6 linked regions of the Coturnix japonica genome follow. The protein of the gene in region 4 interacts with the protein of the main gene of each other region in a pairwise test. Links are inferred from orthologs where the notes say so. Each region holds a gene or a part of one and is shown on either strand. Other genes may lie near its edges. The genes, in order: RPIA, IGF1R, TRIM32, PTPN11, GAB2 and TLK1.

Evidence for each region.
Region 1: the proteins of PTPN11 (region 4) and RPIA interact in binary tests that used the Homo sapiens proteins (3 or more experiments, as listed by UniProt). The two-hybrid records come from large-scale screens. The link is inferred for Coturnix japonica from reciprocal best matches to the Homo sapiens genes PTPN11 and RPIA.
Region 2: the proteins of PTPN11 (region 4) and IGF1R interact in binary tests that used the Homo sapiens proteins (3 or more experiments, as listed by UniProt). The link is inferred for Coturnix japonica from reciprocal best matches to the Homo sapiens genes PTPN11 and IGF1R.
Region 3: the proteins of PTPN11 (region 4) and TRIM32 interact in binary tests that used the Homo sapiens proteins (3 or more experiments, as listed by UniProt). The link is inferred for Coturnix japonica from reciprocal best matches to the Homo sapiens genes PTPN11 and TRIM32.
Region 5: the proteins of PTPN11 (region 4) and GAB2 interact in binary tests that used the Homo sapiens proteins (3 or more experiments, as listed by UniProt). The link is inferred for Coturnix japonica from reciprocal best matches to the Homo sapiens genes PTPN11 and GAB2.
Region 6: the proteins of PTPN11 (region 4) and TLK1 interact in binary tests that used the Homo sapiens proteins (3 or more experiments, as listed by UniProt). The link is inferred for Coturnix japonica from reciprocal best matches to the Homo sapiens genes PTPN11 and TLK1.

The regions. Positions count from the first base shown.
Region 1 is NC_029519.1:78,028,038-78,033,189, reverse strand, and holds the end of RPIA (ribose-5-phosphate isomerase), read right to left. Parts: intron 4,133-5,152; coding exon 4,033-4,132; intron 2,255-4,032; coding exon 2,157-2,254; 3' UTR 999-2,156; downstream 1-998. UniProt on the Homo sapiens protein: Catalyzes the reversible conversion of ribose-5-phosphate to ribulose 5-phosphate and participates in the first step of the non-oxidative branch of the pentose phosphate pathway.
Region 2 is NC_029525.1:15,115,099-15,119,622, reverse strand, and holds part of IGF1R (insulin-like growth factor 1 receptor), read left to right. Parts: intron 1-330; coding exon 331-490; intron 491-1,364; coding exon of another isoform or gene 1,365-1,367; coding exon 1,368-1,470; intron 1,471-2,800; coding exon 2,801-2,871; intron 2,872-3,357; coding exon 3,358-3,587; intron 3,588-3,873; coding exon 3,874-3,984; intron 3,985-4,524. UniProt on the Homo sapiens protein: Receptor tyrosine kinase which mediates actions of insulin-like growth factor 1 (IGF1). Binds IGF1 with high affinity and IGF2 and insulin (INS) with a lower affinity. The activated IGF1R is involved in cell growth and survival control.
Region 3 is NC_029532.1:2,234,105-2,239,315, reverse strand, and holds the start of TRIM32 (E3 ubiquitin-protein ligase TRIM32), read right to left. Parts: upstream 3,573-5,211; 5' UTR 3,473-3,572; intron 2,237-3,472; exon of another isoform or gene 2,118-2,236; intron 1,266-2,117; 5' UTR 1,198-1,265; coding exon 1-1,197. UniProt on the Homo sapiens protein: E3 ubiquitin ligase that plays a role in various biological processes including neural stem cell differentiation, innate immunity, inflammatory resonse and autophagy.
Region 4 is NC_029530.1:5,554,452-5,558,975, reverse strand, and holds part of PTPN11 (tyrosine-protein phosphatase non-receptor type 11), read right to left. Parts: intron 3,598-4,524; coding exon 3,466-3,597; intron 2,749-3,465; coding exon 2,594-2,748; intron 2,174-2,593; coding exon 2,106-2,173; intron 1,724-2,105; coding exon 1,572-1,723; intron 1-1,571. UniProt on the Homo sapiens protein: Acts downstream of various receptor and cytoplasmic protein tyrosine kinases to participate in the signal transduction from the cell surface to the nucleus. Positively regulates MAPK signal transduction pathway. Dephosphorylates GAB1, ARHGAP35 and EGFR.
Region 5 is NC_029516.1:172,537,652-172,542,175, reverse strand, and holds part of GAB2 (GRB2-associated-binding protein 2), read right to left. Parts: coding exon 4,347-4,524; intron 3,339-4,346; coding exon 3,248-3,338; intron 1,474-3,247; coding exon 1,371-1,473; intron 1,055-1,370; coding exon of another isoform or gene 1,031-1,054; exon of another isoform or gene 781-1,030; intron 775-780; coding exon 649-774; intron 329-648; coding exon 185-328; 3' UTR 1-184. UniProt on the Homo sapiens protein: Adapter protein which acts downstream of several membrane receptors including cytokine, antigen, hormone, cell matrix and growth factor receptors to regulate multiple signaling pathways.
Region 6 is NC_029522.1:16,222,478-16,226,468, forward strand, and holds the end of TLK1 (serine/threonine-protein kinase tousled-like 1), read left to right. Parts: intron 1-1,131; coding exon 1,132-1,308; 3' UTR 1,309-2,883; downstream 2,884-3,991. UniProt on the Homo sapiens protein: Rapidly and transiently inhibited by phosphorylation following the generation of DNA double-stranded breaks during S-phase. This is cell cycle checkpoint and ATM-pathway dependent and appears to regulate processes involved in chromatin assembly.

The sequences.
Region 1 (5,152 bases), on a different chromosome or scaffold from region 4:
TGTTCCAGTGCCTTGAACTGGTGAGAAGGGGATCTGCACAAAAATCTGCACAAAACCTCCAGAACCAGTTCAGACATAAATCTTTCTCCAGCACTGCAGATGTTTTAATTCTAACCCTGTAGTACACTGAAATGCACAGGTAGCCCACAGCCTGAGACCTGCTCGAAGATCCCCCAGCAGAGAAAGCTGTCACAGAAGTACTGGGCTGTGCCACAAGCATCTTAAGCACCCGGAGAAGCTGAAGAATTAGACCTGCTGCGTTCAGGCTTAGATTTAACGAGCCCCTGCTAAGCACAGAGCTGAATGAGATCATATTTGGTCCGAGGCCAGAAAGAAATAGTGCTGTAATGGTTTCATTGGCTTTTTGAGAAGGGGCTGTCTGACTTCAGAGAGTCAACAGCAACACTCCTCCTGCTAATCTCATTTTCAGAAGCGTGCTGTGTGAGAAGAAGCTTCCTCACAAAGTTTTGCTTGATTGCTCTCTGTTTATGTAGGATTGCATTAGGAGCCCAACACTATCAGAAAACAGCCCGTGGCAATCCAGACGGAGTCGTGATTTTGTGAACAGCTTCAGCAGCATCAGATTTGCAAGAAGAGAAACTTCAGCACTTCCAGCAAGTTGTTGGTTGGATGGTAGCCAGGTTGGTCAGTACGAAGAGCTTCCGAATTAACAGGATGGATGGGCAGGAAAGGCAAAATGTAAAGAAAGGCAAAAAATGGCTTACACACGCAGGTTTCAGACATGCAGATTTAAGACAGGTGCATAACAAGTGCTGCAACTGACAAGTGATGGTTAAGAGAATCTGGTTAATTTAAAGTAACGTAGTGTATTTACCTTAAGGAAAAAGAAATCAAATGCAAAAGGGTCTGGATGAAGCGCCCACATGAAGGGAAAATGCAGACAGAACCTTTTAATGGAGCCAGAGCACAAGTTACTCTCAGCAAGTATTTTGTGTCGTTCCCAAAACAGTTACCTTAAGAATGAAATTACCACCACACCTGTTGTAACAGCTCTTTATTTCAATGTCTATAACACAAAAAGAGGGCTTGCATTTTGACACTGGAATCATGCAAAGCACCTATACACAGAGAACGGTATACTGAACGAGTGTCTATCTCCTGCTACATATGGTCAATTTAGGCAGGAAGACTCGGTTTTCCTTTGCATTCCACTCTATCCTTCTACTAATCAACCAGCTGTGAGAGGTGACAATTAACCTTCATTGCAAACCAAACAATTTGTCACTGAACACTGCCCTAAAATGCTCAGATGTGCTTCTTGTAAACTTCATCAAGTGCCCAGTTCTGCTCTCATTATACAAGGATGAAATCCTGAACATCTCCAGCTACTGGAACAGACTTTAATCAGAGGTACAGTGCAGTTGTAGGACAGAATTTGGCTCAAAAGATGAACATCTCTTCCACAGAGGCCCCCAGAAGGCCCCTGTTCACGTCCCAGACACAGGGATGCAGAAAGCACAATGTCCCTAGGCTCAGAGATTTGTCATGTGCACTGAGGATTAACTAGACGTCCCGAACTATTAAAAAACAGTGGTATAGAAAAATAAAAGGCATAAAATACTGAACCAAAAAGGTTCCAAATAAGGCATCGGTAGGTCCCAACTGGATGCGTGCTCCCATTATGCACATCATCATCCTCCCAGCCAGGTCGGCTAAGGATGATTTATTAGGATCATAGTATCAATCATGGAGCACTACGAGTGACCAGGAGGGTTCAAGTTCAGTTCAAAAAAAAAAAAAAAAAAGGAAAAATGAAACAAAACGAACAAAAAGAACCAATAAAAGAATCCAAAAAAGTATTCTTTTATTTATTTTTTTGGTCAACATTCCTTAGAAAATAAAATAAAAACATTAAAGCAATTCATTTTTAACTGATTCGTTAAAAAAAGGACAACATTCTTGTAAAGTAAAAATATATCTCTATATATCTGGAAATAGAACTTTTTTTTTTGCTGTTTTGTTTTGTTTTTTTTTAAAAAAAAGACATTCGGTATCATATCAGCGGGTTCTGATCAACTCCCCACCCACCTGCTGTGATAACCGCTGCTCATTAAGGCATAACGTCAGGTTGGCACCGTTACGACAGCTGAATCAAACTGGCTGAAGGCAAAGCAGAGCAGGCAGAACTGCCACCATCAGCGAGGCTGCTTCTCCCGCACACTGACCGAGCCGTCCTCCATGCCAAAATACACCACCTCCGCCATGTCGATGAACAGCCCCGTCTCCACCACACCTGGGAACAAGAGTTCATGAGCCAATTAGCCAGTTAAGCCATCCAGAGGGACCTGGAGAGGCTGGAGAAGTGGGCCCGTGTAAACCTAATGAGGTTCAATACGGCCAATACTGCAACCATGAAGGCTAAGAGCTTCGAAACCAAGCAGATGGAAGACATGAGCCAGACACATGGGTTTGTATGAAACCTCCAGGGCTGCAGAAAAGCCCATGAGAAGTTAATCACATTAAGAGGAGTTAAAGGCAAGATGGATTTGAAGCCAGAGACCAAAGAAGAGGGAGAAAAAAAAAGAAGAGCATCAAAGTTTTGCTCATGCAGTTGGTCTTTCCTTACACAGAGGAAAAAAACAGCCTGGGGATGTCATTACCTCTATTTTGAGGCACATGAAATCCTCATACAACTCTAATGCTGGCAGTTCACAGTGATGCACAGCTCTGCAGCCCTCAGTCCTTTCAGGTGGCTGCTTGCTGACACACATGGCACTCAGCTTGCCAAGGCCCTCAGGGGCAGAGGCCACCAACACTCAGAGCCAGCACCAAGTCTGCTGGGCAAGCCCTCATTTCACCAACAACTCCTGCTGCAATCCAGGAACTGTATGTAAGCACTCATATTGGTTGCTTGCACAGCCAAGCTCCAAATCCAATCCCTACCAGATGAACACACTCCAAAAAGGCTGAAAAAAATAGTGTGCAAAGTGCACAGAGTCCTCCTACCACCAGTATATCCAGGCTTTAACAATCCTGCTCTTCCACTTCTGGGTAGGGAAGATGCTCTTTTCCCCTTAGCTGGCTCTTTTCTGAGCTCATGGTTAAACTATGGTATTCTGAAACCATCTCCAACCTGTCTATTTCCCTTTCATCCCTCTTGGCTGAGGGATGCAAGGAGCCCATGAAAAAGACACTGTGTTTTGTTTCTGCAGAACCAGCCGCTGTTTCTCTTGTGCATAGAAAGAACTCTAATAAAGCACATATTTGTATTGCCATGGACTACAGCTGCATTAGGGTACAGAGAAGTGCACCAAGGACAGCCCAGACTAGCAGCACCCACCAGTCTATTTATATCAGACACTGGTTTGTTTAGATCAGCTCTTGCCAAAGATCTTAACCTGCCATCTACTGTCAGCTGTGAGCAAGTGCCAGGTAATTATTCAGACTGCAAAGACATCAGGACAAGCCAAGGGAGAGGAAGCACACCAGCAGTTTGCTCCTAGATCCAGGGAAAAGGAAATGGGTGTGTTTTCAGCAAATCAGCCTTCTAATAAGCACTGAGGGAAGCAAAGCTAACAAACAGAAGCAGCTTGAAGTAACCAGGGACACTTCACTTCACCGAAACCTGTGGCGTCTGCCTAATGTATTCTAATCATGGTGCTACTTCGTGCAGGCACGGAAGTTTGTGCTACAGGATCCCAACCTGTTCCTATGTGCTCTGGTAAGACACAAAGAGCAGTGAAACCAATGGTAGCTCTGCTGTGCACAGACAGCTATCTGGAATTAACTCAAAATACATAAGATGCACTCAAAAGGTAACTGGATTCAAGAGTAGACTTTCACCAAAATATCCAGCCAAGATATCTTGATGGGGCTGAGCAAGCTTTTGTATGTTGCTTTTGTATGTTGCTTTGATGAAGTGTCATCACCCTTGGGCAGACCTTAACGATCCAGAAACAGCTCTGGTCTGGATAGCAGGTCTCATGCTTCTAGCCAAGCTCCCAGGGTCAGGGATTTGTAGTACAGACCAAGTCTTAGCCAGTTTTTGGCTTTTAACATCACAGACATTACCTGGTATCATTTTTATGGCAGTGTTCACTTCGCTCCACTCGTGAACCTTGTCAAACTTCCAGTCCAGGATGAAGTTCCCATTGTCTGTCACCACCGGGCCCTGGGAAGCAAATCTATATGTCAGCACCACAAGCTCCTGTTGTACCAAGCACAGCCTTACAACGGGAGCCATCCCTGCTGCAACAGTGTAGGGAAGGTCATTGTTTGAGTAAATAAGGGCACAGTCCACTTCCCCATACAAACATTAACCCTGTAAGTCAAACCACTGCCCAAGGCAGCTGCGCCTTCCTCGTTCTTCTGCCTAGAGTTCACAGATAATCACAGAAAAGCTGGAAAAAAATGATATGATTTCATCACTGGGATAGAGGATCCTTTTCACAAGAGCAGAGCTAGAGGAATGTATTCAACAGACAACTATATGCAACTGAAGCCAAAACAAGACTCTTGCACCCCTGTAATAAGGGTGGGCTGCTACTGCATGCCATAGGGAGGTTTTGGAGCTGAAGGACTGACGGCCTTTGGTGTCTCAGATGTACCCAGCACCCTCTCAAGCCCCAAAGTTTTGTCCTTTCAACAAGAATGAGACAGCTCAGGCTGAGAATAAGGCATTTCAGCAACCCTGAGCAGGGGTTGTAACCCACACATGGCAGGAAAGACCAGGGATAAGACCACTGAATGAGACAGAATCCTCCAAGGACACATCTCATGCTGGAGCATTGGGATCTACATTTCCCAAGCAAGGCTGGTCTTGAGTTCATGGGAGACAACTGGCTTTCTCTTCTCAGGCTCCTATATATACCTCCTCAGCCTCTTGGGCCAGGGGATTAAACATATTAAAAGTGTTCAGCCTTCAGGTGTTAGCTCCAGCTGCAACTGGAAATAGTCCTCTCCTCCTTTACCATATGATATGCATTGGTCAGTCCACACTGTTCAAGCCAGGATAGGACAGTGGAGACAAAGCAGGTTCAGTTTTTAGTCCACTCTTGCTCTGTGTGGCATGCAGCAGATTGTTTGTGGCCAAGAAGAGACACAGAGCAGCCCTCAGACTGGAACATCCACCCCTCTTTTCACTGTTCAGGGCTGCTTGATCTGGGAGACATAAGGCTTACACAAGCAACCC
Region 2 (4,524 bases), on a different chromosome or scaffold from region 4:
TACCAAGTCTTTAATAATTGAACAGTGTTCAACTTGGTCCCAACTGAGACACAAAATGGAATCTTTTTTTTTAGTTTCTTCTTTCTGAGTGCTGCTACAGCCCAGTGATGGAGATGGTGATTTTAAACACTCAGCAGCAAGCAGTGTCTCATTCCTTTGTCTTATTTTGTCAGGGTTTGGATTCCACATCTCTTTCAGCTGTTTGAATTAAAACTAATCAGATGGGGTATTTAGTTATACAGATCAGCTTATGTTGCAGCCATATCCTCTTCTAAAGAGCCAAGAGTATGAAGATCTTAACATGAACTGCAAATTGCTTTTTTCTTCCAGGAGAAACGAGAATGTGTTTCAAGACAGGAATACAAGAAGCTTGGAGGGGCGAAGCTGACTCATCTGAACCCTGGAAATTATTCTGCTAGAGTTCAGGCCACATCATTGGCTGGAAATGGATCTTGGACTGAGCCAGTCTCTTTCTATGTACAACCCAAATGTAAGACCAGTATTGCTTGGCTGTGTCAAACTGGGGACTTGCCTTTTTGAATAGTCCTAAGGTTTACATTACTGTGAATACTCCTGCCTGTTGATGCACACTGCTGCCACTCCCTTTGATGTCCACCTTATAGCCCAGTGTAATGTTAGGAGTTAAATACTGGAGCTGAATGGTGCAGAACCTGTGATAATCACCTACTTTGAGTTACAAAGTGATGTAAGAACCAGTGATTTGCTAAGAATATGGCCTGGCAGATTTTATTTAACTCAGTATGATTTTTTGTACTTTAGAATTGATGTTAGGAATGTTGTGATAAAGACTGATGAAAGAGGGATACTGCCCCTGAGAATGGCAGCGATTCAGGTTTTGGAATAGCTCTGTACAGGGTACACAGAGACCATCTCGGGAACATCTGTGTTTAGCTGAAAATCAGCTGTGTCCACAGAAAGTCAGCCTCCATCTTTTATTCATTCTTGTTTTTCTAATTGTCGGAATCTGATGAACCAACGTGAATATCTTCTGAAGTACGAGCAATGGCAAGGTGAACAAAAGGTGGTGGAAAATAAAGGTTGATATACAAGTGAACAGCTCAGTATTGTTCACTAAGGAATGTAAGTCTTCAAGCATAACATGTGAAACCAAACTCCTGACAGACGCTGTTCTGTACAAAGCTGAGGCTTTTCACTCTCTGTTCTCTTATTCCACTCATCTGCAGTCAGGGCGTGTTTCTGAGTACATTTTTCCACATCAGACAAGAAAATGAGTACTTTGATTTCTCCCATGTATGGAAATATACTGAGTGGGTTTTGAATGTTTCTTTGTTAATGGAGATTTTATAGAAACCTTAATACAATTGTTTTCTTGTTGGTTGCAGCAGCAAACTATGACAACTTCCTCCATTTGATAATTGTGCTCCCCATTGCTTTCCTGCTCATCATTGGGGGTTTGCTGATAATGCTGTATGTCTTTAACAAGAAGAGGTGAGTTACACTTGTGGTTAAAGCCAAACTGTAGGAAGGGAATGCTTATTTTCAAATCTGTGTCTGTGGAGCAAGTTAGAAAATAAGAAGTGAAATAGCTTTCAGAGTACTTGAGAAGCTAAAGTGGATTCTGCCTTGTTGGTGTGTAGAAGGAGGTGGTGTAGAGTTACCAGCCATTATCTGCCTGCTGCTTGGGATTCAAAGGGGCTTTTTATTACAGGATCGTGTTTGAAAGGGCAGAAGAAGGGTTGTCAGGAACTGGGACAGTGATGGCAGATGCTGAACCTTTATAATCAGGTGCTTTGAAATGCAGGTTGCTCTGTAAACTTCACTCACATGAGATTAATTTGGTTTCTTGCAGATTCTGAAGTTGTTTTATTTTTCAGTTCCTTCCATACACATACAAATATTTATATGCTGGACAGAACACTCAATTGATTTGATTTCCTTAGTATTGTACTTTAATAACTAGGGATTTTTTTTTAATGTAATTGAAATACATAATGAGAACTTAGCAGAAGTCAGTGCAAATGTTCAGTCTTGCAACTTTTTAAGCATGCAGGCTTTTGTTACACATACTTTTAAATTATGCCCATTGAGTGTCCCAGCTCTCATCCCTTTGTGTGCACGCTGTCATCCCAGTTCCCAAGCACTACAGAAACGGCTTTGCCTCTAGTGAAGTGAGGTACCTGCTGGCCTTCCCATGTCCTTTTCAGAGTGGAGCAACTGATACCCCATCCTTCTTTAAGCTGTTGTTCTAGCACACAAAAATGTTTTCTTTGGTTTTCTGAGGTCTGATTATTAATTTTATTTGTACAGCTTTGCCCCCTGCAAGAACTCCTACAACTCTCAATAAACGTCTTATTCTGAAAATCACACCAGGAAAGTAAAATAATAGAAGCAATTTATAAAGTAGTGGAACAGAAACCCGAATGAAAAAAAACACCTTGTTCTTTGCTAGCTCACTTCTGCCTCACAGTAAAAAGCAGGTGATGTTAAAGCCATACGTCTCCTGGGTGTATCAGTGCACAGCTGCCTTTCTTAAAGGAAGTTTGCCTAGCAGCTGAAAGTACCGTGTGTTTACACTTCTCTGTACCACATCAGCAGCAGAGAAGACTGCAGGTTTCTTGGGAAAAATGTTCTGAGCTGTTTTCCCACTGATTATGTGAAGTAGAATAAGAACGTGATTTGTCTTCTTTCTCTGAAAAGCTCTCCACCTACAGTAAATACTTCGTGATTGAGCAAACAGTGGAAAAGCTGTAGAATAGGCAGTCTGCAATTACTTGAGCTCAAAGATTAAAAAAGAAAAAAAAATAATGTATTTCAACAGGAACAGTGACAGACTGGGCAACGGAGTGCTGTATGCGTCTGTGAACCCTGAGTACTTCAGTGCTTCGGACGGTAAGTGTGGGCTGAGCCTCTGTGCTCTCAGTTCTGTGTGCTCTGTTTGTGTCTGGTTTGGGAAGGTATGAAACACTGACAAAGGGATGTGGTAAAACCTCTTTCTCTTCATTGTATCTGCACACCCATAGTTAATTAATAGGCAGTTGTATGTGAATGTTGTCTGCCTATTGAAAGCGGGGAGTTTCTGAAGTTTTTCCTGTAGTTTATTCAGCTGAGATTAACTTGGGTGGGTTTCCTGAATTACCCTGGTTGTGAGCAGTAGGTTTCTTATTTTTTATCCCATTCTGCCAGTCCCTTTGCATTCTTTTAAGGTTCCTTTTAAGATGTATTTGTGTGCTAAGTATCATTTTTACATGCATGATTCAGGGTCGTAAAATGATGTCCAGCTTTGCTTACAGTAAAGTTGTTCAGACAGTTGATATCATAAAGCAATCCCAGTAGTTAGGAAAACAGAATGTGATGGCATGTTCTCTCTCTGCTTAGTGTACGTTCCAGATGAATGGGAGGTGCCCCGCGAGAAGATCACGATGTGCCGGGAGCTTGGGCAAGGCTCCTTTGGGATGGTGTATGAGGGAATAGCCAAGGGAGTGGTGAAGGATGAGCCGGAGACCCGGGTGGCCATCAAAACGGTCAATGAGTCTGCAAGCATGCGTGAGAGAATAGAGTTCTTAAACGAGGCCTCTGTGATGAAGGAGTTCAATTGTCACCATGTGGTAAGTCTTGAACCTGTAACGAGATGGACTGATAAGGCCGTGGTGCTTTAACAGCAGGAGGGTGTTCGGGGCATGTCCTCACTGGCTGAAGGGGTGCTTGGGTTTTAGCTTCAACTCATAAGCATTAGAATACTGCTGTTCAGCAGGAGTCAGAGAGAAAGCAAGTCTGCTTCCAGACATTTCCTACTGTTTCATGGGTGTCTGGGGCTATGTATCACATGAATAAATGCTTACTGCAGTTCAGTTAGTGGGATCTGTAGCTGAGCGTTTGTTTTTCCTCTTCCAGGTTCGCCTGCTAGGTGTTGTTTCTCAGGGCCAGCCTACCCTAGTTATCATGGAGCTGATGACACGTGGGGACCTCAAAAGTTATCTGAGATCATTGAGGCCAGACACAGAGGTGAGTCATGACTTGTTTTATTATTATTTCTTCACTCAAAATCATCTTGAGCAAAAAGGCATCATGTCAGAAGCAGCAGGCAATTAGCCTTTCTTGCCCTTGTCCTTAAGCTCTAAGAACAAAACACGCTGCCCTGTGATCTGCACCACCTTTTTTTTATGAGTTAGTTACTGCAAATAGCCCAGTGTGATGCCTGGAATAGGCCCTGTCTTGTGGTACCAATTCCGTTTTCCACATCTGAATTAGATCCCTTGTCTAGCCTAATTCTTGTCAAGATGTTGAAAAGATTGGCTTGTTGAAGCATACACGTTAGGATAATTGTTTCATGCTCTACATCCTGCCTGTTGCCTCTATTGGAAAATAATTACAAATAAGACCTGTCTATTTAAAAAATCAGTGTGCTTGCTAATACACGTATGAACTTCAACATGTAGGCCATCAGCGTAACAGCTAAAATTGCCCCCTATGATGTAGGGTCTGAAAGATGACACTGAGCATTGAAAACATAGTTGACTTTGTAGAGAATGAGCCCAGTGGTTG
Region 3 (5,211 bases), on a different chromosome or scaffold from region 4:
CTTCAGGAAACCTTTGCGGGTGAAAACCTGGATACGAAAATTGCCTCGGTCCGCCACAAGCACCTCTCCTTGGAGAGTGACGTAGAGGCTGACGGGCAGATTGAACATCCCTGGCAGGCTACCCTTGGAGCCCATCTTCTTGATGAAGTGACACTGTTGGATGCTTGCAGCTGCTTCGGGCATCCTTGGTTTGACTGGGGAGGAATTTGGTGTGCAGCTGGCTTCTTGTTGCATCAAGTCAGGCTCTCTAAATGATGCCGATGAGGATGCTGCAGTTTCCATGAGTGATTCTTCCAAGTTAACAGTCCGGGGTTTCTTCACCACCTGCCCAATCTGCAGTGGTCCCACATGGCTCACTTTAAGGAGTTCAACCTCGTGAAGTATCAGCTCCCCTGGGAGACTGTTTGTCAGTTCTGGTTCTTCCTCATCTGCTGCCTCCTCCAAGAGAGCAATATCTCCTTGCTTTATTTTGGCAAGGAAATAATCACAGCGAGACAATATCTGCACTTCTGCTAAGTTCAGCAGATAAGCTTGTTCCTCCATTACCTGATTATTTACCTTCTCCACTTCAGACAAAGAGGTGGTGAAGAACTTGCGTGACCTGGCCAGTTCTTCCTGGATCTTGCGTTCTTCTTTGCTGTAATCTTGCAGAACTGCTCTGTATCTAGATTGCAGGTCACTCGAAACACCCTCCAGAGATGCTTTTCTTTTCTGCAAATCATCCATGAGCTCCCGAAGTCTGGCAAGCCTTGTCCCAAATTCCCTTCTACGCTCTTCAGCAGCCTCTTTGATAGCAATGACATTATGCCCTTGGGGCACGTGTGATGTCTCCTTGCACGGCTCACATAACACCAAGCCACAACTCTTGCAGAAGTGTCTTGGCAATCTTCTCCCACAGACTTTGCACATGAGGAGACCAACCACTTCCCCCAGCCCTGTGGTGTCTATGATCTTCAGTACAGTAAGATTGTCAGTCAGCTGAGCTAAGGTTTTGATCCGAGTGATTTTGCTGCAAAAAGGGCAGCGTATCCCATTAATGCTGGTTGCTAGGAGCTTCTCCAAGCACTGTTTGCAGATGGTGTGCCCGCAGTGTAAGAGCTTGGGTCTCAGGTGCTCCTCAGTAAAGGACTCCATGCAAATGGGGCACTCCAGGACCTCTCGGAGCGCATCCGAGTTGAGTTGAGGAGCAGAAGCCATGGCTTTCCACAGGCAGCTTTACCCAGTGCAGAATCTGGTACTCGCATGTATTCTAAGGTGCTCCAATTCTGTCCAGAAAGAAAAAAAAAAAGAAAATGTGATTTATGTCATCACCAGCAGTTACATATACATGCAGTTTATTTCTGATTTATCTCCCAGACCTGGAAAACAGAAACCCAGTTGGCTTTTCCACATGTGAGAAGGGTAGATTTATCATCGCTGATCTCAGAGTGGGCAAATCCTAAAACTAACCTGCAGCTTCTAGTGCAATGAATTATTCGCTTGCAAAATTTATAAGGAGAACTGAAAGAAGTGTAATGGCAGCAATAAGGAAGCCCAATATATATTGATGACTGAATCATCTCCTCATGGTGCCCATCTCCTGCTGCCAAGCCTGTGAGTTTACATAATTTACTCTGAAATCCAGAGAGATTAAACCAAGCGTTCAAATGTTGCGCATCAAAAGAGGAACCAGATGGTGCAACGCTTTAGGACATTAATATATCACCTCTGGAGACCTGCATTCAGATAAGACATCAGACATGAGCAAAATAAATGTTCATGGTTTAAAACTGCTTTTCTAGAAAGCCAAAATAAATTTTCAAGGTTTCATGTGTTTGCCAGGAGGTAATCCTAGAAGGAATGATTTGTCGGTTTCCACTCCTTCTGTGATTGACTGTTTATAGTGGAAACATGCGCCGATGTCTTTAAGCCAGTGTACTTCATTAACCTCTGCCATGCTGCATCATGCAAATAAATACAGCTTGATGCAGCAGCATTCTATCAAGTATTAGCAGAAACAGAGCTACCAGACAACTCCAAATGCTTGATAATACAGACTGCACGTGTTCTCTCTTAGGTCCTGAACTTAGCTTAATTGCATATAATTTCTCTGTATTCTATACTCTTGTAGCACTGACTTCATTCCTGTGTTTTGGTTCAGTTTTGTTGTACCGCCGTGGTTGCCATTCAACTTCAGCCCAGGTTTCTTCATCCTCACATCCCGCGCAGCGGGGAGCAGATCCCAGCAGCTCCCTCGCTAAAGCAGCCATCCATTCAAAAGGAACAGAACAGGGTTCACATCATTAAGTTATTATTCAGCGGACCGAGTTTCAATACCTCTGCTATCGCATTGCTTAGCCGTTAAAAAAGAAACGGGGAGAAAACATTTCTTCTAGGGGGAGAGGAGGAGAAGGAAGTGGTTGGTCTTTAAAATGAAGAGCCGGGCACAGAGGGATGCGAGCAGAAAGCTTTCTTCCCAATAATGGCTGCATGCACGCAGCACTTTGGCTTCCCTGCTGCGATCGCCTGCTTTGCCCTCAGGAGCATTTCAGACAGAAAGGTTCAGTGTATTTCAGTTCAGCGTTTGCTCGAGTGGAAGGAGACAGCTGGAACGGAGAGAGGTTCTTTATATTCATACATAGAGAGAGGGGGGGGAGGAATTAAAAGGAGATCTGTATTTATCGGCTGTGAGGTCTTTTTAGCCCCACGTTGCAGGGATGGGCAATGTGGGATCTCCAATGGTGGGGTCCCAGGCTGGGTGCTGACCCCAAAGTGGGGACACAGCTTTCCTTTCCCTTTCTCTTTCCCTTTCTTTCCCTTTCCCTTCCTTTCCTTTTCCTTTCCTTTTCTTTCTTTTCCTTTTCCTTTCCTTTCTTTTACTTTTCCTTTACTTTCCCTTTCCCTCCCTTTCCTTTCCTTTCCTTTCCTTTCCTTTCCTTTCCTTTCCTTTCCTTTCCTTTCCCTTTTTCCTTCCCTTCCCTTCCTTTCCCTTCCTTTCCCTTTCCCTTCCTTTTCCCTCTCCTCTCCTCTCCTCTCCTCTCCTGCTGAGCAGCACCTCAGCTCTGATGGATGGACAACAACGAGGTTTACAGATAAAAGCTGCGGTCAGAAGGCGTATTTCCATTTAGATGGGCTTCCCTTTGCTTTTAACTCAGGTTCGGTCTGAAGGTCGCTTTGTGTGATGCTCTTTTAATAGGCACAACCGCATGCAAGCGCTCATCTCTGCCATGCCGTTATCCCCGCAGCGCTCTCCCTCCCTCGGTTATACCCCACATCGGGCCGTTGTTCCCACACATAAAACAGTGAACCAGAGGCCGAACCGAGGCCTGGCCCTGCTCACGGCCCCGCAGCGCTTTGGGAGCGCCGCCTCCCTCCCGCTCCATCCCGGTCCCGCTGGGTCGGCCCCGTTGCTGTGTGTAACCGCCCGCCCACCCGCCCCGCCTGCAGGGGGCGCCACTCACGGCGGGGCCCCGGCTCCGCTCCTTCCCTTTACCTGCTCGCCGCTCCCCGGGCCGCGCAGCCGCTGCCCGTCATACCCAGCGCCGCCGATGACGTGGTGCTGCGCGGCGCACGGAGCGCTGGGAGGTGGAGTCCTGAAGGGCCGCCTGCGCACACACAGCGGGTTAATGGGGGGGAGGGGCCATAAAGGCCTGTAGGGCCACCATGAGGGGCTGCAGGATGCCATAAGGGCCTATAGGGCCACCATGAGGGGCTGCAGGATGCCATAAGGGCCTATAGGGCCACCATGAGGGGTTACAGGATGCCTTAAAGGCCTATAGGGTCATCATGATGGGCAACAGGATGCCTTAAAGGCCTATAGGGCCACCATGAGTGGTTACAGGATGCCTTAAAGGCCTATAGGGCCACCATGAGGGGCTGCAGGATGCCATAAAGGCCTATAGGGCCACCATGAGGGGCTACAGGATGCCATAAAGGCCTATAGGGCCACCATGAGGGGCTACAGGATGGCCCCCATTAAAGGCCTATAGGGCCACCAAATGATGGGCTACAGGATGCCATAAAGGTCCTGTAAGGGCCCACCATGAGGGGGCTACAGGATGCGCATAAGGGCTGCTATAGGGCCAACCATGGAGCGGTGCAGACTGCCATAAAGGCCTTATAGGGCCACGCATGAGGGGCACAGGATGCCATAAGGCCTATAGGACCACGGCATGGAGGGGCTAGCAGGATGCGCATAAGGGCCTATAGGGCCACCATGAGGGGCGGCTGCGGATGCATAAGGGCCTACTAGGCACCATGAGGGTCTACGAGGTAATGCCATATAAGTTCCTATATGGGCCACATGATGGGGGCTACAGGATGCCATACGACGGTCCTATAGGGCGCACCATGAGGGGCTACAGATGCCATACAGGGCCTATCAGGTGCCACCCATGAGGCGGCCTGCAGGATGCCATAAAGGTCTATGGGGAGCACCATAGGGGGCTCAGGATGCCATAAAGGCCTATAGTGGGGGGGGGGGGGGCCACCAGAGGGGTCTACAGGATGGCCATAAAGGCCTATAGGGCGCACCATAGAGGGGCTACAGGATGCCCATAAAAGGCCATAGGCGCCACCATGAGGGGCTACAGGATGCCATAAAGGCCTATAGGGCCACCATGATGGGCTACAGGATGCCATAAGGTCCTATAGGGCCACCATGAGGGGCTGCAGGATGCCATAAGTTCCTATCGGGCCACCATGAGGGGCTACAGGATGCCATAAGGTCCTATAGGGCCACCATGAGGGGCTACAGGACGCCATAAAGGCCTATAGGGCCACCGTGATGGGCTACAGGATGCCATAAGGTCCTATAGGGCCACCATGATGGGCTACAGGCTGCCATAAAGGCCTATAGGGCCACCGTGATGGGCTACAGGATGCCATAAGGTCCTATAGGGCCGCCATGAGGGGCTATGGGATGCCATAAAGGCCTATAGGGTCATCATGATGGGCTACAGGATGCCATAAAGGCCTATAGGGCCACCATGAGGGGCTGCACCCTGCTGTCATGTCATGTAACCCTTCCCAAACACAAGGAAGGGTAGAACCAGCTTGGATGCAGCTCCTGCCACCATCTCCTTGCTCTATAGGTTTTAACTTGCTCACAGCATGTGTGTGTGCTCAGATCCATCCCTCTATGCTGTTCATGCCTGGAAATAGAGGAGGGTGGTTCTATCACACAGGACTGATGAGCAAAGTCATTAATCATATAATCAGTCATTTTCCTCC
Region 4 (4,524 bases):
TGAATAGCAGCTTGAGGTGCAGATATTCTGTACTGTGAAAGCAATTAAAAGCAATCAATCAGTTCTTCTATTACTTAAATAGAAAAACCAAGATTAAGTATCTTTCTGGCTTCTCTTCTTTCAGCTCGATTCACTGTAATGATCCTAATTCATAATAATAGAAATGCAACAGAAACAACTTGTCTCTTAGATGTGAAAGACTACACACATCTCTGCAGGAAAAACATAGCAAAACAAATCCAGATTCCCTTTTCCCACACTCATAGGATGACAGGCAATATCCAACACAACATTTAAGTCTAGGAACTCCTGAGGCTCTCAGCACTGCAATGCAGAAGGGAATGCTAGCAGAGAATCCAGGGAATTTTTTCTCTGAATACAAAGAACTCATGTCTATGTGAATGGATGCAGCTATGTGTCCATACCCATTGCTTCAGCACAGCTGTAAGTGCTACATTATATCATATCTTTATTTTTTCCTCCAGGATGTTACTTCCTATACTCAAAGTGTTGCTTTTATCTGAAAAGTATTATTGTGCTTTATTCCTGCATCTGCCACCAGCCTTTAGGTTCAAGAATTCATGATGTAAAGCAATGCTCTATTGCAACTTCAAGAAACTTTTATTCTCACGCCTCTTGAGCTAGTAACACAGTAAAGGATGAAACAACTGATCACTGTAAGAGAAATGCACTGTTCCTCTCAATACCAAAGTATAATTCAAAACCACATTACAGCAATCAAGAAGTTACAGATCTACTTTATAAATGGTGGCAGCAGAAAGAGACTATATTCAAAAGCTGAGGATACAAGGCTTGTGCAATCACACACAGATGTGAGGAAGCTCTAAAGTGAAGTGAAACAAGCAAGCCAGAAAAAAAGTACACCTGAGGGATTTCATGTTCTTCTCTTTGAGTCTAATCAGCATCAAAGCACACAACAGGCATCCTGGGGAAAAGAATAAAGACTCCATCCTCTGTTGAACGGTGCATCTACATGATGCTGGCAAATATAAAACAAGTTCTGTCACACTCCAAAGAAGCCAGAAGCCACACGAGAGTGCCAAGACTGAGCTGGCACACCCTACCTCTAAAATAGGGCTTAAATCTCACAACTGGCACTGAACTAACAATGAACATACGGCTTTCCACATCTGCCTGATGATCTGCGTGAGTTTATCTCCTGAGCAACAAGGCAGCAGAAGATACTGAAATTCTGAAAAAGATAAGTCCCAGATGACCAGAAAAATAGAGAATGAAAGCAATAGTGGACAGAAAGTTAGTTCTTTATCACAAAACCATGCATCTTCTGTACAAGATGGTAGAATTAGATGGTACCTGAACAGAAAGAAGTGTGGAGGGGTGTCTTGCAACTGTCCTCACATCCCAAGCTTTTTCATCACATGCTTTACAATCCTTCAGATCAATATACTTCATTCCACATAACCTAACACTCAAATTTCATTGCCATATTGGCAGTCAAGTCTCCAAGTCACAAGCAGCAAATGAGCAACTCTGCTCCCTGCTCCAGTGATAACATATTCCTACATAATTTACACTTCAGATGAATATACCTGTTCCTCTTCAATCCTGCGCTGTAGCGTTTCAATGTAGTGCTGCACTGCCATGTAAATAAATCTGTACTGTGCTTCTGTTTGAACCATTCCTGACCGCTGTGATCTCACCATCTGAATGGTCTTGGGAACATCAATATCACAGTCCACACCTGTGAAGTAAAAATAACCATGAGGTTAGAAGCAAAGTAAACTTTGCTTTTGGAGAGATTGGTCTCCTCTATATACAATGAACAGACTGACAGCCACATACTCATGAAAGATTTAAACAAATAATTAAATACAAATATTAAGAAAAATAACACAGATTCCTGGCTAATCCTCAGCTGAAAGTTTTCATCATCCTGACCTAGAGCAGGATTTCAGCACTTTGATTCCAACTAAGAAGAATGACAGAGTCCCTTTTATGCTAAACAAGTACTCACTCTAAAACAATACTAGAATCCTCTGTCAACATTTCTATTGTTTCTACTGTAATGCTTCTGTGACCTATGTCAATGTCCCAGCAGAAAACAAAAGGCTGAGGACACCTACCTTTTTCTCTGATTATGTCAATAAGAATATCAATCACAATGAAAGTTCCTGTTCGTCCAATCCCAGCACTGTGGAAAAGAACAATGATAATTTTGCTGTGAGAAGGCACTAGAACACTAACCTAAGTTAAGAGTACAACACTAAGCAGCATTAGATTTCCAGTTTCCAGGTAAAGCCAAACCAAACTACACAGACAAAAGAAAACAGAGGCCTATATTTTCAGAGAGACAGAAGTAGGCAGAAGTCACAACAGCATTTTCTGTATCTTAGTGTTTATTAACAACCTTGGATCAGACAGAACTAAAAGATCAAATGTTTCCTTGCCTTATTGAAAACAAAAATTCAGACATTAAAAATGAGGAGTGATATCTTACAGGAGGTGGGATGGTAGACTAGTATTCCCATGATCCCAAGCAATACATCAATAGATGTAAAAAAAAGAAGCCAACAGACCTCCAGAGAAGCAGAAGCATTCTGCATCACTGTACCTGCAGTGGACCACAACTGGTCCTGCATCAGAAATGCTTTCTTGCTTATGGTGCACCTCCTCGAGAAAGTCCAGTACACCACCAGGATCACTTGGGACTCCATGATCAGGCCAAGTTCTGAAATGATATTGCCAGACTGTTCTCTCTGTGTTCCCCTAGAAGGAAGACATCAACATGTGAAAAAAAATCCTTCTGATCAAAATTCAACTAAGAGCATTACTTCAGCAAAGTTGAGTCAGATCAGAAGGCAGTGTACCCAACCCTTCTACTCAATATCTGTGGCACTACAGCTCAGTTAAAGAAGGAAAGAGTTTTTCTTGGCCTGACAAGTCAATCACACTACCTGCTCCCACTGTTCCCTCTTTGTCTCATTTAGCGATTTCCAATATTTCTGTCTCACCTTTAGAAGGTAAGGAAAAGCTCTGTTTCTTAACAACAAAGTGCTGTTCCCACACAAATTCACTGCTTCCTTCCTCATTTTACATGTCTTCACTTAAGAGCTCTTTCTAGATTCTGGACTCCCATACAACAGTTCCTTCTAGTACAACCACCTCCACGAAAGGGCAGATAAATGCTTAGCTAGACTAAAGTATGATTACTTAAAAGCACTTTCATGCTTCTTTCCAGACTTCCTCAAAGCTCTGCAGTCATGCATCTTCTGCCAAAACAAAAAAGTGCTCAGGTATAAGAATCTTCAATTAGCCCAAGGACAAAGGGAAAGATGCATGGAGCTAAAGCTGGAACTTCAAAGAAAGAGTCAAGGCTCAATTTATTCATCTTTTAGTGCTTTTATTGATTCTGCAGAAAGAAGAATCTGCATTTTTTTTTACTTGCAACCTAGATTAAAAGGACAGAGCTACTAACATACTTACTTGCCCAACTTTAGAAAGCTTAAGTTCTCTTAGCGTGTAGTCATGTGCTGCGCTCTCCTTAACGTTCCTCACACGCATAACACCATACTCCTTTAAGGAATATTCATCAGGCCAGTACTTGACACACTTACTCTGCAAGATTCAAAGCAAACAAACAAGACTTTAAAGAGTAATCCACAAGAAGGCTGCTTTGTGAACCGCTGAGCACTTTCCTGAAGTTTTCATTTCTGAGAACATCTAAGACAACACCAGCACCAACTGGACAACATCAAATGACACATTAAAGTATGTGTGAAGGGAAAGTTTCTTTTCTATATCTCAAATAAGGAATTATTTCAGGAAAAGTGGTACATGCAATCTCTCCTTTCAGCAGCTTTCATGATTTTAGTACCAGTTTTGCCTCATAGTTGCAAAGCCCTGGGATTGAAATGCAGTTACCTATACCTCCACCCAACTATTTGTTTCAAAATACGAAGAATTTTCAGGGGAATGCTGCAGCTCCATATGCTGCTCTAAAATCAATACCTAACAGGCTGCAAAACAAACGCAAGTCAAAGATATAAATCATTTTTAACAGGAATGCAGCTTGGACATTCGCTTTTTCATTGCTTAGAATCAGGGAAAAAACGGGCTAACATAGCTCTAATTCAATCACCAAAGCAACACAGAACTGCTCCCTTTGACAGACGGCCTGATGCATCTGTAGGCTTCGACATTTAGAGCTTTCAGCATGCTGCTTCTCTCTCAAGGTTATCTTTGGCCAGGGATGTATTCTACACACTGAAGGGTGGCTTAACCTATTACTTCTTTAATTTGGTTCCTGCAACAACAGCTCCTGTTAGCCTCGTGAAGGCTAACACAAAATTAGATGAGAAATATAGTGGGGAAGACAGATGCAGCTTCCAGCAACAGCAAACAGACCAAGCACCAAATACCATAGAAAAATATTTCTTATTAACAGCACCTAGTGCAGATTTACAAGAATATATGGGAACAAGGGAAGCTTCTTCTGCCAATAAAAGATACAGCATAAGATGCTTTGCTGTTGTTACTTTTGCC
Region 5 (4,524 bases), on a different chromosome or scaffold from region 4:
CTGCCAAGTCTTCCTCTGCAATTAAGTTCCTTTTGTCTTAAAAGAAAATGATAATAAAGAACCCTTCCCCTCCACACAGACAGCAGTTTTAGAGAAATCCAGTCCAAATGGAGCTGGAAGTCTGGTAGGGCCCCAAGCTGGGAGAACCCCTGGGACATTTGCCTGTTAGGTGTCTGCCCTGCCGCTATTGCTTGGTGCTCTTGGTGGCTTCTGAGGACTGCCGCACATCAGTCCACTCCTGCATGGTGCTCTGCAGCGCCTGTGTCTTCTCCTTGTCCACTTGCACATAGTCAACCTTCTCATCTGAGGCAGCTGATGAGGTGGAGGGCTGTGGGGAGGAGAAAGACAGCCACCAGCTGGTTATCCATCAGCAGCCATCGACTCCCATCCTCCCTTACAGTTCATCACCCTCCCTCTGACCTCCTGAACGGTATCGGGTGAAAGATTTTGGTCTCTTCTGCAGCTTTCTTGCATGAGACCACAGTGTGATGGGAGGGTTAAACCAGCACCCAGGTCTCTGCCTTCTCACCAGCTCTGGAGCACGAGTCGCATCTTGCTCATTTTCTTGTAAGATCTCAAGAATTCTTACAGACACACGGAAAAATCTTATCATTGCTTTTAATCAGAAGTTTATCAAATCCCCAGTACCTTTCTGTGTGGCCCTGGTGAGCTTGGCTGGAAGTCCAGGGCAAGATAATCCACACTACCCGAACTCTTTTTAGGCGCTGGGCTGTTGGTGCCACTAGGAACAGGAGAAGCAGAAATGGGGTTTTGCTAATGCAGGGAAGAGACAGGAGAGATAACGAGCATTAAAATGGGAAGAAATAGTGAATCCTCAGTGAACACAGTGCCGGGATCTCTGCTCAACACAACTGTGCTATGCAGTGCACCCATCTCCTCAGCCCCCTCAGTTACGCAGCCTTAAAAATATGCTTCAAGTCAGCAGCTTTGCTAAGAGAGACAAAGCCCCTCCCTGTAAGCAGTGCCACTCCCTGCTGTGCTCTGATAGCCCCTGCCCTCCGCACAAACATTATGTCAGTGGGGGAAAAAAGCCCTGAAAAAAAAAAAAAAAAAGAACTTAATTAGGAAAATACGCCCTGGATGTTTTTATTCCCTCTTAATTCCTTGTGAAATAAGTAATGTGTGTTCAAGCTCTCATATGGAGTTAAAACCCCAGTAGGATGTATTATACCAGGAACAAAAGCCACTGTTTTGTGCATGTGGGGATTACACAATGATGCACACGACATCCATCATGACGCTATTGGAATCATTGTGGTGCTTCCATGTCATGAGCCAGGAATGCGTCTGCAGCACTGGGGAACGTACACGTCCTACCAGGACCATGTATCCTACCAGGGGGCCCTTACCATCGCCACGTAGTTCTCTTCACTGTCTCCTGAGTCAGTGCTGGTGATGCTCTGGGAGGAGACAGGTCGACAGTATTGCAAAGAGCCGGCGTTGAAGGTGTGGCTGAAAGGACAAGGTTCAAGATGTTAATGATGGCTGTGGGTACATGGCTGGGGAGAGATGGAAGAGAGCTGCACCTGATCTCTTCCAGTGCTCATGGTGGGTGATGGAGAAGAGCTGATGGTATTGGGAGTCTTCCAATCTGTCCATCCCATGGGTTAACTAAACAGTGGGTTTCATCTTATTGTTTTTTCCCTTCCTAGTACTTTTAAAATAACACCTTGCTTACTGTACCACAGAATTATAGAATCACAGTATCGTTTGAGTTGGAAAGGAACATTAAAGGCCATCTGGTCCAACTCCCCTGTAACAAACAGGGACAACTACAGCTCCATCAGATGCTCAAATCCCATCCAGCCTGACCTTGGATGTCTCCAAGGATGGGGCATCCAGTACGTCTCTGAGCATATCCATAACTCTGAATCAGCTGCATAAATCAGGATCCATAAACTCTTTCATCTCACAGGAAGCATTTCATTGGGGAGGATGCAGAGACAGCCTCCATGGAGGTCCCCAGCAGGCTTCTCATCTCCAGGCCCTTTTCAGCTCCAGGCTTTGGAACCATACAGGGCCCTATCTGAATTTTCTGATTGAAAAAAATCTGCAAGGCGTCGCCTTGTTTTCAATTGGCCAGATCCAATTATGGAGAATAACATAATGCAATCAGCATCTGGCATTGAAGCCTGTGTCTTAAAGAGCTATTTGTTTCTTTGCTGTAAAGGCAGGTTCATGTGATTAACTGTTAAGGGAAAAATCCATTAGCTTCCACGGGGTCAGGCATCATGTCAGTCAAAGTCTGTGTGCTGTTTCCTGGTGCAGTGATTTCAGCACACAGCGCTCATGCCCTGCAGTCAGTCTCCACACAATCCAATTTATTACAAGAGTCATAACAGCCAAACCTGGCTTCTTCCTTTCATTGGACAAGATCAGACTGCGAATTAGCAGCAGAACTGGAGCTGCATGAATCCTGTTATTTTTGGCTGGCAGACTTTGCTATGAAGTGCTTTGGTTTCATTTTGCAGACTTCCTCCAGGCTAGGCTTTGCTTTCAAGGCAATCAAAACACAACTGAGTCAAACCCTGTGCGTCTCACCCTGCATTTTTAGACTAAAGCAGCACTTCTGGGGATGAGCTGGATATGAAATTGGTACTATGCCCTGACTGCAGTTGAGCTGGGGGTCACTCAGCCACACCACAAGTCATGAAGGACTCCAGGTCTTGTATCAGAGCCACAGCTCTGTGGCAATGTCAGATCCCCAAATAGGAAATGCTTCCAAGGGATCTTAATTAACTGCTCAGCCACATACTGGGCTTTCATGTGAAATCCTAATCTAAACCCATTTATCTTCCAGTCACTGGCTGTGATGTGGGGGATGTGGCTCTGGCTCTCCCAGCACTTGGACAGAGCTCACAAGGAATCCAAGAGAGATGGTCCTCTTCTTCAATATCATCTGACCCAGATCCAAAGTTTGGCCATGATGTGACCAAAGAAATTCCTCAGCCCCAAAACAGCTGGTGTGGCAGGAGATATTAGGAAATAATTACTCAATACATTCCCAATTCTAATCCTCTTCCCAGATAGCTCCAACTGATCCCTGATGGATGAAGATGTTGTGCAAAGTGGACTTTCAGCTCAGTACAGCTGCTTGTATATTTTCAATCTGTGACCCAGTTCTGCAGCTACTGTTTCTAAAATCTACAAAGGAAAAATCAAGATGGAAGAGATCACCCATCTTTTGGGGAAATTTGAGTATGCATCATACCCAACCATTACTCACCTTGGTCTGGACCAGGATTTTGTCACTGGAGATTTGAAGGGAAGCTCATCGATGACAGTGTTGTTCCTCAGGTCCAGCGGTGATGGCTTTGCTGGGATAAAAGTGTTTATTCAGATCATAACCAACATGAGAGGGGATAGTCTCCTAAATTTAACTTGTTGCTTCCCATTTTGCACATTAGCCCTCCTTGCTGATGATAAATCAAAGATCTCTTCTGTCATTTATGCTGAGACAGGGAGAAAAGGTCAGTTTCTCCCTCTGACTCACAGCCCAGAGCTGGATGGATGGCTCCAATAAGGGAGTCCTGATGCCTCAGCAGAGCTAGAAAACACCAGCACTGATCAACTTCTGGCTAGAGCACTTGCTCAGATTGATTCAAAAAGGAAATCTACAGAGTAACCTGAAAGCTTTTCTCATCATGGGTAGTTTATTATGTGGAAGAGAAGAATTCTCTGCTGCAAACCCAGCCCTCATCTAGTGTGCTGATTAAGTTAGGTGCTGACATCCTAATGGTGGGAGCCCTCCTGAGCTGTGACCAAAATTCCCTGAATTGGTTGAGCAGGAGTCAAGGTGGTGATATGGGTGTAAGAAAAACCCTGAGGGAAAAGCTGCTGGGAACCAGTCAGTAGGAAACAGCAGGAGAAATCCGAGTGATCTGAATACAGTCATCGAACCATGAAGGTTAGAAAAGACCTCTAAGATTGTCTAGTCCAACTGTCTGCCTACCACCAATATTGCTCACTAGCCATGTCCCTAAATGACACATCTAAATGGTCTTGTACACCTCCAGGGACGGTAACTGTACCACCACCCAAAGGTTTTGGGATGGAATGCAGAAAGAGCTGCCAGCAAAAGGGTTGTGCTTGACATGTACATCTCCCTTAAAGGCCAGGAATGGTGCAAGATGGGTATTTTGAGCTTCATTGCACCATAGTCCTCTTGAAAGAGGAATGGAATGGGGAAGGGGGAGATCTGAGGGTCTGACTGTGCTGCTGGTAGCAACCAAGACCTCACTCAGGACTCTGTTGAGCATGCACAAAAAGACAGATGTAGCCAGAAGGGTTCTGGGAAAGCTTTGCCCACAAACACCCATTCTTACCTTTCCGATCGGGTTTGAGGTTGCGGTTGACTGGTGGGGGCTGGATCTCACTCAGCCGCCTGTGGCACTGGGCCATGGCCCCTCCTTTATGCATGGGGAGAGTGGCCGAGGACAATCCCACCAGGTCAAAGTGATGTGGCCCAGGGCTCATGGGGATGTAGAGACTCTGGGCGTTGTC
Region 6 (3,991 bases), on a different chromosome or scaffold from region 4:
CTACCACAGAAGCGCAAAGTATTCTGCAAACATTTTAGAAACAAACTGTTACTCTGAGAACCTTGCAAACTACGCTTAGCAGCTCATTTCTTAGGGATTCATTATGAATAATTCAATTAAATCCCCAGATGTCCAAGAATGTGTGAATTTATGTTAAGATGTGCGTGCTTTTATTTTGAGACTAGTTCCTGCTGGATATGTATACGCTAGAAGGAAATTTTAGCAGGAATCTTTAGGACTTACATCACAGATTAAATTTTCCTCTAATCTCACGTTTTTAATTTGAGCAAAGGACAAACAATTGAAGAGATTTATCAAGAAAAGATAGGTAATTCTTTTAAGTTCTGGATTAAGTAATGATGTGCTAATGAGTTCTGTAGCAGTAATAAGGATTTTCTATCATTAAATGTTGAAGCCCAAGTTCCCAGGGGACTGAGTGTTCTGTATATATTAGACATGAGACTCAACAGAAATACACATCATGCAATAATTGACAGATATCATGTAGACCTTGATGAAGGACAATACAGTGTCTCAAAAGCTGCCCTGGAGATAAATAGAGATTTTTCCCCTGTTTTTTAAGATATTTTAAGTCAGTTGTAATTCTCTCCTTTCTGAGAGAGAAGTTCAAGCTAGGTGGTGATTTCTTAAATGATGTGTTGGTTAGTGCGTGTTGGAAGTGGCAACTGTCTCTGCATCTTCTGCTCTTCATGTAGTGCACTGCTGGATGGTTTTAGAAGCTCCTTGTAGTTCCTCTCTACTTCCTGAGTCCTCTGACATTTGCTTTTAGCTTTTACTATGCTGCTAAGGAATAACACAAGCAGAATTCTCCCTCTGTGAAATGCTAATGTTTTGCTTGTAAATATAGTTCACACATCTTTTCGTCTGAAGTATGTGTTTGAAGTGTGATTACTCTAAGCCAATTAGGCTTGCTGATTTTTTTTTTTTCTACTGTAACATACTCTTTTCCATTGGAGTCTGTAGTAGAATGTTAGGCTGTCTTTGAATGGAATTATATGAGAACAAGAGTCTGTTTAGAAGCTGGTTTATCTTGGGAGGACATGCTTATTTGCTTGTAAGCAGATGGAATTATTTTGAATGGTATTGTGACTTTTTGCATTCCTCTTCTAGGCCTTTATCAGACGCTGTTTAGCATACCGAAAAGAGGATAGATTTGATGTCCATCAACTGGCTAACGATCCTTACCTTCTTCCTCATATGAGGAGATCAAATTCTTCAGGAAACTTACACATGACTGGGCTAGCAGCATCCCCTACACCACCTACTTCAAGCATTATTTCATACTGAAATTTCTCCAACTGAGGAATGGCATGATACATTTGTGTAGTTTCCTGATGCAGACTTGAGCTTGAGAACATTTGGGTGTTTTTACACAGGACGAGTTTGATAACTGTGTTTTCAGGCTGAAGTCCTCCTACATAGTGTTGTTTGTATGATTGGAATGGGTCATGGACTGTGAATAAATATACACTTCAGAGAACAACCTTAAAACGCTGAAGGATGACACTGCCTGTTGCACACTAGCAGGTATACTGTGTTTAAGACTGAAGAAAAGGTTTTTAGTTTTTTCTGGGGAACATTGTAAATAATCTTTTTAATACTTAAAATACATTTGGTTGATACTGGAAAGTTCTAACATGAAGGGTAGTTTTTCATTATTTAAAATTTTTAAGAAAGGTAGTAAGCAAATTTGAGAACAAGAAAAATTCCGTGTCTGGTTAATAAACTAAATGAACTGCCGTGTTTCCAAGACATTGATCTTCTGAAACCAAAGTAAGAAGTGCAAGACAGTCAAAGCTGTGTTCTACATCAGATTCCTCGATGAAATTATAGTATTTTATTTGGCACTCAGGCTTATACCTCCAAACATGGGGAGTTCTTTCACAGAATTTAGGTTGATAGGGAATTCCTGGTACTTATTTCTCAAATAGGTTGCTAATTTTGAAATAAGCTTAATTTTCTAAATATACTGTACTTGCTGTGGTATTGAAACTTGTGAAAATTTCCAGGCCTCTGATAAAAGCAAACAACAGTGTGAAACCAAATGCAAACAGGTCATGTATAATATTCTATGCAGGAATAATGATAAATTCCCTTCTAGCTCTATTGTAAATTGTTGTACAGATGTCACATTTTCAGTTAAATTTCAGCAACTTATTCCTGTACAAATGTTTAAAGTATGGCTTTTTCTAATTGGATATTGTACTTTTTCTTTAAAGTCTCCCTCAAGGCGCTTTTAATTGCTGCTAAACAATGTTGCTTTTACTTCAGCAAAAGAATCAGATGACCTCCTTAAGGTGCGAGTAAACTGTACGTTATAGAGAGACTGAGTAGGAAACTCATTAACAATCAAGGCATGTAAACCGAGCTGTGTTGGCCATATACAGTACAGTTCCGTAAGTCAATTTATTGCACTCTCAACCTGTAGAGTGCACCAGTACTAGATGTAGAAGTTTCTCATGGCTATTCTCTATTTCTGGAAGTTCCTATCTACAAGGAAATGTTTCTTGTGGCTTGTACAGGTATTTTAAAATGTGAAACATTTTCTAACTGCCTTGTATGGTAGAAACTTATTTTTCAAAACAGCGTATCTCTCTCCAGTTCACTATTCTTTCTACTGTTCCATTCTGGATGCTGAATACTATCTGTAATTTTGTCCATGTTTCAGAGAAAAAGGAGGCTGTTCTTACCACAGGTTTTCATTTAGTATTGTACAGTTAAACTGTTGCTCTTGTTTCTGATGTTGCAAGCCATTTTGTTTTCATTGTATATAAAGAAACATTAACTGTCTCTTTAAGATGCTGCTGAAATTGTAGAGAATGTAGCCAAAACAGTAATAAACAATGACAGTTGAAATTTCAAGGTTTTCATTGTGTGTTTTTGCATTTTAACAAAGGACAAATCTGCTTTCCTTATCACTGAGCTACATTCACCTATCAAAACAAGTTCATTTCGATGGCGAACAGAAGTAATAGAGTAATACATTCAAGCAACGTTAGGGCTGAAAGGGGAGACTTCCATAAAATTTGAAGCATCTGTCACAGTGAAATAACCTATGCATTATTTCAATGAGTAGGCCTCACAGATACAGTTCCAGTTATTTCAGTAGGTTTCTCTATAATTTGTTAGACATAAAAATAGACTCTGATATGTTCTGCCTTTCTGTTATGCCAGAGTTCTAGGACTGCATCCTTTTCACCATATGCCAGTGTGAAACCAAGGTCTGTGGTTCAAGGATTATGCCATGGCTGCATACTCACGTTAGATTTCATTATATCCTATTCTGTGTCTTGGAAGTTACAGACTGTTTTGCCTAAGGAAAAGAGGTAAGACTGCGTTAACTGTTTTTGTGTATCCAGAATGTGTTGTGATAACCTCTAGTACTTTGAAGCTTAGCAATATGTTAGAGAACTGTTAAAGTAACCAAAAATTGTAGAGCTACCTAAAGAAAAGGGGGGTTAGGCATTATAGTGATTCCGAGAGGGCTTGTTTTCCTTGTTGTTAGAATCTGGGAGTACAAGTGGCTGACTACATGACAGTTACTCCACCATGGCAGATGTTTACTTCTGAAATCTAAACGCTTCTTTTTAATGCATTTTCATACAGAAGCAAATGAAGTATCGCTGTCTCATCTTTCGGATCAAAATTGCAAGACCTTAACACAAGTGCAACCCTGTGTACCGGAGGTAAGCATCTTACAGTACTGTCAGTAGAAGTTTTGTATCCCCATGTGGATTCATTCTGTGTTCACAGCACGTCCAAGTTGGTGTCTGATGGCTGATGCTCAGCAATTTGTGCTTGGGATAGAAGTACCCTTGAGACTGAATCCAGAAGCCTGAATTACTGCGACTTGTCAAGGGATGCTGATCACTTCTAGGTAATTCATACATCCATTGCTTAGGCTGTATTTTGTGCACATTTTACTCGATTCATCACATCATCCTTCGCTGTATTTCCCATGTTTTTCTGC